3 linked regions of the Macaca mulatta genome follow. The main gene of each other region encodes a partner of the protein of the gene in region 2 in a complex. Links are inferred from orthologs where the notes say so. Each region holds a gene or a part of one and is shown on either strand. Other genes may lie near its edges. The genes, in order: MMP3, TIMP1 and MMP10.

What was found.
Region 1: the proteins of TIMP1 (region 2) and MMP3 are in contact, whole or in part, in a crystal structure (PDB 1UEA), measured with the Homo sapiens proteins. The link is inferred for Macaca mulatta from reciprocal best matches to the Homo sapiens genes TIMP1 and MMP3. Residues at the interface, in NP_003245.1 of Homo sapiens: Cys24, Thr25, Cys26, Val27, Pro28, Pro29, Val52, Thr56, Leu57, Tyr58, Pro87, Ala88, Met89, Glu90, Ser91, Val92, Cys93, Thr121, Cys122, Leu156, Ser157, Pro159, Gln173, Leu174, Gly177, Glu179; in NP_002413.1 of Homo sapiens: Phe100, Thr102, Phe103, Phe171, Tyr172, Gly178, Asn179, Val180, Leu181, Ala182, His183, Ala184, Tyr185, Ala186, Thr207, Thr208, Gly209, Thr210, Val215, His218, Glu219, His222, Phe227, His228, Tyr237, Pro238, Leu239, Tyr240, His241, Ser242.
Region 3: the proteins of TIMP1 (region 2) and MMP10 are in contact, whole or in part, in a crystal structure (PDB 3V96), measured with the Homo sapiens proteins. The link is inferred for Macaca mulatta from reciprocal best matches to the Homo sapiens genes TIMP1 and MMP10. Residues at the interface, in NP_003245.1 of Homo sapiens: Cys24, Thr25, Cys26, Val27, Pro28, Asn37, Leu57, Tyr58, Pro87, Met89, Glu90, Ser91, Val92, Cys93, Arg98, Thr121, Cys122, Cys155, Leu156, Ser157, Ile158, Gln173, Leu174, Gly177, Ser178, Glu179, Lys180; in NP_002416.1 of Homo sapiens: Phe170, Tyr171, Gly177, His178, Ser179, Leu180, Ala181, His182, Ala183, Tyr184, Pro185, Tyr191, Asp205, Ala206, Ser207, Gly208, Val214, His217, Glu218, His221, Phe226, His227, Thr231, Tyr236, Pro237, Leu238, Tyr239, Asn240, Phe242, Thr243.

The regions. Positions count from the first base shown.
Region 1 is NC_133419.1:103,711,449-103,714,414, forward strand, and holds part of MMP3 (stromelysin-1), read right to left. Parts: intron 2,574-2,966; coding exon 2,409-2,573; intron 2,247-2,408; coding exon 2,102-2,246; intron 1,238-2,101; coding exon 1,104-1,237; intron 702-1,103; coding exon 542-701; intron 1-541. UniProt on the Homo sapiens protein: Metalloproteinase with a rather broad substrate specificity that can degrade fibronectin, laminin, gelatins of type I, III, IV, and V; collagens III, IV, X, and IX, and cartilage proteoglycans.
Region 2 is NC_133426.1:47,601,908-47,606,092, reverse strand, and holds the start of TIMP1 (metalloproteinase inhibitor 1 precursor), read right to left. Parts: upstream 2,818-4,185; 5' UTR 2,766-2,817; intron 1,831-2,765; 5' UTR 1,823-1,830; coding exon 1,702-1,822; intron 962-1,701; coding exon 882-961; intron 693-881; coding exon 566-692; intron 358-565; coding exon 233-357; intron 1-232. UniProt on the Homo sapiens protein: Metalloproteinase inhibitor that functions by forming one to one complexes with target metalloproteinases, such as collagenases, and irreversibly inactivates them by binding to their catalytic zinc cofactor.
Region 3 is NC_133419.1:103,642,000-103,644,768, forward strand, and holds the end of MMP10 (stromelysin-2), read right to left. Parts: intron 2,237-2,769; coding exon 2,133-2,236; intron 995-2,132; coding exon 894-994; 3' UTR 603-893; downstream 1-602. UniProt on the Homo sapiens protein: Can degrade fibronectin, gelatins of type I, III, IV, and V; weakly collagens III, IV, and V. Activates procollagenase.

The sequences.
Region 1 (2,966 bases), on a different chromosome or scaffold from region 2:
AAAAGTGCCATCATTATCAGGCAGAGGTAACAAACGGGTGAGGTTAGAGGTAGCCCTTGGATATCACATAGTAGTGTTAGGAAGACAAGACAAACGCACAGTGAGACAGTAACAAACACAGACAGACAGTGAGCCAAACTATAAGACAATGGGAAGGAAATGCTAAATGGTGGTCTGGATTCTCAGAACATTTTCCCAACGGGTCTAAAGTCCATGAGGGAAAGCTGCATGGAGGTGATAAGACTTGAGCCAGGACTTGAAGGATGGGCAGGATTTGAATAGGTTGAGGAGAGAAGAGGGGGCTCCAGGCAGTTGGGACAACAGCACTAAGGGAAGCACCAGCCAACTGCATTTGGGACTCAAAGCAGGAGAGCTTAAAGTGCTGCTGTTTTAAAATAAGAACTTTCCCACAGTTGTCTGAAGTCCCATCCTTCCTACTAAGAGAGAAGCAGGCCTAAGGTTGGGGTGAGGGATTTCCTTAGAAAAAGAAACTAATTTCACTAATTAGGCTCCACGCAAAGTCATTTCTTTTGCATCTCACCTCCAATATTTGTCCTCTACAAAGAAGTATGTTTTCTTCTTTTCCTTATCAAAAAGGGCTGCATCGATTTTCCTTACAGTTGGAGGGAAACCTAGGGTGTGGATGCCTTTTGGGTATCCAGCTTGTACCTCATTTCCTCTGATGGCCCAGAACTGATTTCCTGTTAAATATAAATAATTCAGAGTCATATTGAATTATAACAGTTAAGCCCTTTAGCTTTAGAAATACACTTTAGCATCTTTGATTTTCATGGTAAAGAAGTAGCCCAAATTTTAGATTTAGTCACCAGCTCATAGTGGGCTTTTCACAAAAATTTGCAGACTGAATGAATAAACCAAGGTCAAATGAGAGAATTTACAACTCTGGGTAATTTATCTTCCTGTCTTTATTTTTATCATCTATAAAATATAAATGCAATCATATCAGCCCTGGTTATTTCTTCATTACCTTTGACTACTGTACTAGCCAGTACTTGATGTAGCAGGGAAAAGGAAAGTGTCGTTCAATTTCTTATGAGAGGGTTTATTTTAGCAAGTTAAACAAATGATGATGTAATAATTACCTTTAAAAATGAAAACAAGATCCTTGCTAGTAACTTCATATGTGGCATCCACGCCTGAAGGAAGAGACGGCCAAAATGAAGAGATCAAATACAAGTCAGGCTCAAGCTTCCTGAGAGATTTGCGCCAAAAGTGCCTAAAATATATGTAAAAAGAAATGTAAATTGAAAAACAGTCTTTCACCTTTAGAATATTTTCCTCACCATCTTGCCTCACGCAACTTCCCCCATTCTCTCATCTTCTAGGCTGGATGACAGATAGAAATCAGGTATATTGCCATTAGAAAATTTCTTTCCTTTTTCTTCAGAAGACTGCAGTGAGTCTCCTGTCATAGGTTTCCAGAGGAATGTCTTCTATGGAAGAAAAATTATTCTATCATGCAAATGAATTAGCCCAGCATAAGCTTTAACTACCTGCAACGTGTGCAAAACAGTGCGTATGCTATGCCCTGTTCCAAAAGCTGGGCAGTGTGTGTGTACGTGTATGTGCTGTATAAATATATTCTTATATACGTATAGAAAGATTCTAGAAGGATGCACAAAAAGTCTTGACTCTGGATGAATATAGGGGGAACTGGGAACTAAAGTTTTTAATTTTCTTCTCATTTGTGCTGTTTGAATGTTTGTCATGTGCATATTGATCCATCAGTAGGTAAATTACTTGATTAAATGTAATGTTGATCCTGATGTCATTTTTAAAGGAAGTAAAAATAAAAGTATTATTCTAGAGATCTACTCATGCCTTTTGAAAAGTAACCGCAACTTAAAACATTTGGAAATAGCAATTAGAAGACAGGAACCAGATCAGCCTGAGCCTTCAAATACGAACCTGGCAATTTTAGGAAAATGTGGGAAAAGGCAGCACCAGATCTAAATGATGCCAAGCTCAGAAGAAACGTTTTTGTTTTAAATGTTTAAAAATCTCTATCAAATTTCTGTGTGTTTTCCTTTCTAAGCACTGTAGACTAAAATGATAGGAAAATATAATTTTTCAGTCTGACCTGTCTTTAAAGAACAGGATTTCTCCCCTCAAAGTGCTGACGGCATCAAAGGACAAAGCAGGATCGCACGCGGCTGGCGTCCCAGGTGCTGGAGGGACAGGGTCCGTGGGTACCAGGGGGGTCTCAGGGGATCCAGGGGGAGGTCCTAAAGGGAACATTAGGGGAAATGTGATACGTTTCAATATATGCCCGTTTGTGTGCTTTCCAAACATTCTCACGGTGCTTTCAGCTAAATGTAGCATTTGACAGCTCTTCTGAAGACCATCGTTGCAAAACCACAATGGCTAATTTTCCCAGCGTCACTCACCATAGAGGGACTGAATGCCATTTATATCATCTTGAGACAGGCGGAACCGAGTCAGGTCTGTGAGTGAGTGGTAGAGTGGGTACATCAAAGCTTCAGTGTTGGCTGAGTGAAAGAGACCCAGGGAATGGCCAAGTTCATGAGCAGCAACGAGGAATAAATTGACCCCTATTTAAGAAATCAAAAACAATAGTTACTTATTTTTTAAATACACGTACATTACACAGGTCTGCTGTGCATTGTACTGGTTTTTGCTTCTTGGAACCACACAGGGCTTTTTACACCTTGTTTGTTGGTTAACCAAACAATTGACTAATTACACACTTAATGGAAAGCTAAGTGTATTTTAAAACTCATACCTGAAATCAATCTTTGAGATTGATCCCCCGGAACCCACCCCCAGCCTCACAAGCATATTAACTCCAGAAGAAACAGGTCCCTTTTCTTGTACTCAGGAATGGAATGAACCCATTTGTTTAGCATATCAAATATTTACCTTCATTTGTCAATGCAAAGCTAAACACTGTTTTAATATATTTACATTTGCCATTTGTAGTCTCA
Region 2 (4,185 bases):
GACCAGGGACAGGCGATCACACGGTATTGGACACAGGGCAAGGGAGCAGCCAGAATTTGTAAGGGAGCAGTCTCGGGCTTGGGGAAATAGCAAGAGAGATCAGGGACAACCCTTAGGGTTTGGGAGCAGCCACAGGGACACAGAATAGCCAGAGGGAGCAAGGAACAAGCCCACGATTTAGGGAAGGGCCGCGGAAGGATCTCCCGTTGGAGGTCAGGGTCCAGGTACTCACTGTGCATTCCTCACAGCCAACAGTGTAGGTCTTGGTGAAGCCCCGGCGCTGAGCTAAGCTCAGACTGTTCCAGGGAGCCACGAAACTGCAGGTGGTGATGTGCAAGAGTCCGTCCTGCAGTTTTCCTAAGGAGAAAGCGGGGGTAACCGACAAGCAGCTTTTGATTGGCTGAGCCGCCAGGCTAGCAAAGGCCCGGCCTTCTGATAGGCTGAAATTGGGATGGTACCCATTTCCAGTGGAACCATTCCCATCAGAGCCTCGCCCCCTCGCTGTTGCTAGGCCGCGCCCCAGGGACTGGTTGGCGTGGCACAGGGCGCGGGGACGGTGCCTCACCAGCAATGAGAAACTCCTCGCTGCGGTTGTGGGACCTGTGGAAGTATCCGCAGACACTCTCCATGGCGGGGGTGTAGACGAACCGGATGTCAGCGGCATCCCCTAAGGCCTGGAACCCTTTATACATCTGTTGATGGATGAGGGGAAGTGTCTCTTTTACTGACATAATCCTCCCACTCCAGGTTCTTCCCTGAAGTCACATAGCATCCCAAGATCACAGCCAACTTTCTTGCACCAACCAGTGGCCAGAAGTTTCTGTTTTGACCAGGAGGAAGATGTTAGAAAATGCTGGGAAAGGGGCGGGAGCAGGGGATACCTTGGTCATCTTGATCTCATAACGCTGGTATAAGGTGGTCTGGTTGACTTCTGGTGTCCCCACGAACTTGGCCCTGATGACTGCAGGAGAGGAGGGAAATATGAGTCAAATGGACTGCATGAGCCAATAAAAATAAGATCATCATCATCATAATACCAGCAACGTGCATACATAAATAGGGGTTATTGGATGCCAGACAGCACACTAAGTGATTTACACATTTGTTTATTGATTCATCTGTATGTTGAGTGTCTCTCTTCGCCAGGCACTGCTTAAGCCATTTTCATATATTCATTTGTTCATTTACTCCTCAAATATTTGGGAGTGCCCAGACATTCCCACTGGCCCATGCTATATTCAGTGTTGAGCCCAATCTCTCTCCCAGACAGCAAGATCCCATTGCAGTGGTTCCTGTACCCATCACCATTGTCCTGAATATGGTCTTCCTTACTGTGCTATAACAACTATCACCGAATATTTTTCTCTTTAACAGGAAATCAGGAGTACTAAGGGGCAGGGGTTAAAATTTTAAACAAGATGGCCAGGGAAGGCCATCCTGAGAAGGTGACATTTGAGGCAGCCACCCATGTGGATACCTGGGGGGAAAGTGTACCAGGCAGAGGGAGCAGCCAGCACACAGGTCCTGTGGTGGGCTTGGGCACGGAGTACTCAAGAAAGTGTGAGGATGCCAATGTGGCTAAAGCAGAGGAAGAGCAGGGGGCGAGTGGAATCATTCTAGAGGTAAGTGCCATCGTGAGCCCCACCGGACTGAGAGGGAAACCAAGGCAGAGTGTGTGGGCTGAGTGGGGTGAGGACTCACCGAGGTCGGAATTGCAGAAGGCCGTCTGTGGGTGGGGTAGGACACAGGTGCAGGCCCTGCTGGGGGCTATCAGCCACAGCAACAACAGGATGCCGGAAGCCAGGGGCTCAAAGGGGGCCATGGTGGGTTCTGTGGGGAAGAGGGATGTCAGGCAGGCCCCAGCCCAGCTGATCTGCTGACCTGGGCAGGTCATCCACCCCATCCTGCCCCGGCGCAGCCTATGGGGGGATTAGGGGACTGGATTTGGGCTTCAGGGGTTGGGAAGCTTGGGGATTTTAAGGGGATTGGGGAGCCCAGAGGAATTTAGGGTTTAGAGAGTTGGGAAAGTTTAAATTATTGAGGGACTGAGTTGCGGGGTTATGGAGCTGTGGCACTTGGGGGAGAAGGGAGCTAAGGAAGTTTGAGGAATGAGGGGATTGGGGAATTCTGGAGGTTGAGGAGTTTGGGGGTGAGGAATTTGGGATTGGGGGCTGGAGGGGTTTGGAGGAGGCAGAGTTTAGGGGTTGTGTGTATTAAGAGATATAGGGGGCTGGGGGAATTTAGGGAGGTTGAGGAATTTGGAGGAGGTTGGGGATTTGGGGAGCTGGGGGAGTTTGGAGGTTGAAGGGGTTGGGGGAATTTGGGGGCTTAAGGCAATGGTGATACTTGAGGAATCTGAGGGCAAAAGAAGTTTGGGAGCTGGGGAGCTGGGAAACTGGGGATTGGGGAGATGGGGGAGTTCAGGGAGCTGCAGGGGTTAGCGGTGGGGATTTAGGAGGCGATGAGGGAAAGTGCTGGATGAAGGGATTTGCGGGGGATTTGGAAAGCATTTGTGATACTAGGGGGTCATGGGTTTGGGAGAGTTGGGGATGGATGTCAGGGGTTCTAGGGAGTTTGGAGCCTCAGGGTTGGGAAAGCGGTTCCAGCCTCCGACCCTCTTCCCCCTAGACTAGCCCAGGATCCTGGTACCCGCAGGCCAAGCTGAGTAGACAGGCATCTAGCACGGGAGTGCACGGGCCTGGTGGCCAGCACCCAAGCTGCGGCCCAGCCCCGGTTCCTGCTGGGCCATCCCGGGCCCTGCTTACCTCTCGTGTCTCTCTGGGCACTGGATCTGCGGCGATGGCGGCAGGGCCTGAGCGCTAGAGGATAAATGTCCACGCTAGGGGCGGGGGTGGCAGCGGGTGCGGAAACCACAGGCCTCCAGGCTTCCTGGATGCATTACTCATCCACCCACCATCAGTGCAGAAGCCAAGGGGCGGGCCGACGAAAGGAGATACACCCTCCTCCTCTCCCACCCCCCTCCTCTCCCTCTCCCTGGGCCTCGCCCGGGCCAGCCCCCTCCCCCACCTCCACGTCAGTCACTATTCCTTCCAAGGCGCCTCAGCGGAGAGCTTAGAGGCCGCATTCCCCCCAGCCCAGTCCCCTAAAGTCTCCAGAATCTATCCAATCACCCACATCCCCCAAGCTCCCTATGGCTCAAACCCAAATGAGTTCAGCCCTTCAACATTTATTGTGCATCTACTGTGTGCCAAGCACACAAAAATCCCTTGTTTTGTATGTCTGACATGCTGGTGAGGGGTGGCAGAGAGGAAACAAATTAAATAGCAGCAGTGGAGGGAGATAAGGCAGGTGAATGGGGAGGAACACAAAATGGGGAAACTGAGGCATGGAGTGGTTAAGTGACTTATCCAGGATCATAGAGTCAGTACATGGCAGAACTGAGACTGGAACTCAGGTGGCCAGGAACCAAAGCCAGGGTCTCAAAAAACACAGGCAAATAGCCGGCATTTATATAGCACCGACTGTATACCAGGCACTCAGCATAGTTTATCTCACTCAGAGCTCACAACAAATCTCTGAGATGGGTACCAGTTATTATTCCCATTTTACAGATGAGGAAATACGGGGTATAGAGGAACTGAAGAATTTTCCCAAGATCACAGGACATGGCCAGGATTCGAACTGAGGCTACCTGGCACCAGGATCGTAACTCAGGAGTGGCACCATCCTAGCAAGCAGGGAATGGTGCGGGTGAATGAATGAGCATTGGGAAGGGGGTGGCCATGAATGAAGGTGAAAGAAACAAGTGAGTGGGTCAGTAGAAAACTAGTCCCCACCCCATCCTGCCCTGCCCCTTCCCCACGGACCTATACCCCTGGTGGAGGGTGGGGTGGGGCAATCCTTGCCCACCAGCTTTTTGACAGTGCAGGAATCTTCCCTGGGGTTCTGATTAACACCCTTAATTCGAGGAGGATAGATCAATAATAATAATTGTAGTGATGATGGCAGCCGCTTATTGAGCACTTTCTGTATACTACGTGCTAAAGTATTTGTATAAATTATCTCATTCACTCGCCATACTCCCTTGCTAATTAAGTTTGATTAACTCAGGGATATTAGCCTAATAACAAGAACACAACAAAAACTACCAGCAGCCCCTACGGAGTGCTTACTGCGTATCCAGCACTGTTCTGGGTGGGAGGAAGGTGAGGAATAAGAAATTGC
Region 3 (2,769 bases), on a different chromosome or scaffold from region 2:
TCTGGATAATTGCTATGTAGCTGAGGCTCCAAATAAGGTAATCACCCAAAATATTAGATATCTATTGCTGAGTAGAAAATTACCACATGTGCACATGCTCTCTTATCACCCAGGGGCTTCCACATACAAAATGGCAGCAAGAGAATATTCTAACAGGAGGGTGAGGGTGAGGGTGAGATGAGAAATTTAGTCTGCAGAGCAGGAAAGGAATCCCAATAAAGAAAGATTTGGGTTAAAACGAGAGGTGAGTGGACTCCAAACTAGTTTTATTTCCCCACCTGTAAAATTGTAAAGTCTATTAAATAATACGCCAGGTTCCCAGGCTCTAACATTCTAGAGTTCCATTTCTCCATTCTGCTTTGATCCTTCCTAGATACAGGACAACTGTTGATTTACCTTCTTTGTTAGGTGTGTAAGGAACGCTTACAATATCTGTGAGATGAAAAAGAAAGATCCTGTTGGTGCAGAGCATAGGAGAGGGTATGTGACAGCCACATGGCTCCTTTATAGTGTGTGATCCTACCACATCTACTGGCAGAGTATCTGTCAAATAATCAGTCCCCAGTGTGGTCAGGGTATTGAACATGAATTGTTCTAGAAAGTAAGGAACAGGCCCAAAATAAAACTTTTTATTGAAGAAGTAATAAAACATCTATGGAAATACATTCTCTCACCTATTGCACATGAGTATTTCTTAATTCTGTTGAACGTAATTCAAAAGCAAATGAAGAATTCCAGAAACATTCTCCATGACACATGCAGATGTCTGCAAGGCTCCTTTTCTTTAACCATAGAACATGCAGGAAAAATGAATCATTTTGGCTCATAATACATTAGATGAATAATTATTAGATTTATTTAAAACACCCATATCAGTTTTCCCCCTATCTTGTCTAGCAATGTAACCAGCTGTAACTCTTCAGTATGCGTGTCACCATCCTGGCATTGGGGTCAAACTCAAACTGTGATGATCCACTGAAGAAATAGAAAAATCCTGTAAACATAGAGAAGGAAAATGATGAGACATCTTCAAATATGTCATTTTGCAACATATGTGACTTAGATTAAGTACAAGTTAATAATGGATGGCATTTATTAAGTGATTACTCTATGCCAGGTACTGAGCTAAGTGCTTTACATGTTTAGCTCAATTACCCTTACAAAAAAGTGTAATGTGTTATTAATGAGAACAAAACTAAAAATTAGGACGGTTTTGTAATTTTAACAAGGTAGCATCTGTAAGGAAGGATGGAGGGAGGACACCATCTCATCTGACTCCAAAGGAAGTGCTCTAAAACATTATGTTATACTGGTTCTAAATATATAACATTCTATAATATTTTAAAATCTTGTTTTCCTTTCTTTCCAACCTCTCCTCTTCTGCTAGGTCCTAAATTACAGCTTAGGAGACAACTAGACCCAAGAGAATCAGACAAATGATAAATGAGCCAGAGGTCCATTTCCTGCTTTGCATCCATCATGGTTAAGTCATTTTAGTAACAAGATCATCAGCCTCATGAGCACTGGATTGTCAAGCACTGGCAGCTCCCTCCAAAATTCCTTCAGAGTAATCAAGAACAAGTTTTGCTTTCCTATTTACCCATTACCATGAATCACATTTTACCTATTCTGAGCATATGGGAGGGCTACTATTTTTTTTACAAATGACTAATGTAGGAAATTGCAGACTGCAACAGAAGCCCAGACAAGGCTCCCCTGGGATGGGATAGAAGGAAAGGGACAACAGGATGGGATAGAATAGAATGACAACCAGCCATTAGTAAACTTGGCTCACATAGATTGTATTTTTATACCAACATAGTGACCTGAAAGATAATGGCTTCTGTGTGAGAAAGTATCCTTTGATTTTATGTGCGGGTATGAAACAGAGACTTGGAAGCTATTCAGGAAAAAAAAAACCACACACACACACACACACACACACACACACACACACACACACAATTTAAACCCACTTTGCATAAATTGGAAAGTTAAGATTTTCAGGAATTTGGAGTAAAAAAGATATCAGACTGAATGATTTAAAAACTATTTTGATTCTGCACTTCATTTTGAAATCATAAAAATGCCTGGAGATTCCTGCATTGACAATGAAATAAGGGTCTTCTTACCAAATGCCTGTAATACTGCATCGACCTTAGGCTCAACTCCTGGAAAGTCATCAGCTATTAGTCTAGGGAAGCCTTGCTCCATGGACTGGCTATTTTCATCAAATCTAAGCCAAATGAAAGAAATACAGTTCAATGTTGCGTAGTAGTCCCATTACACACAATAGTATAATGTGATGTTAATTTTCCAGTGTGGAACCCTAGACAAACTTTTAAGTTGTGTAAAAAAGTGTTAAACATTTTTAGAGCTACAAGAAGAGGTTACTTTCCTGGGCTTACAAGTTTAACACATAAAACAATACTTTCCCAGAAACAGGAACATTCTGTCATTTTACAGAGGTTCCATACATATGTCTGAGGTAAATTTTCTAAGCCTGGACACACAGACCCCAAATTTCTATGTGTCTACCACAAATACATAAAGACTGTGTAGACATAAAATGCAAAATGAATTAAATCACTTAGCTAAAACTAAACCTCTGGTTCTCAGTCACACTGGGACCCTGTAGATCTTGTCTCCAAAGCCTGCCACACCTGGGCTTCCTATGGCAGCCACATGGTGACTGGAAACGGGATAAGAAGGGAATGTCTTTGGACCTCAGCTGGCCTCTCCTGATGTCCTTTGGTGTCTGAGTATATA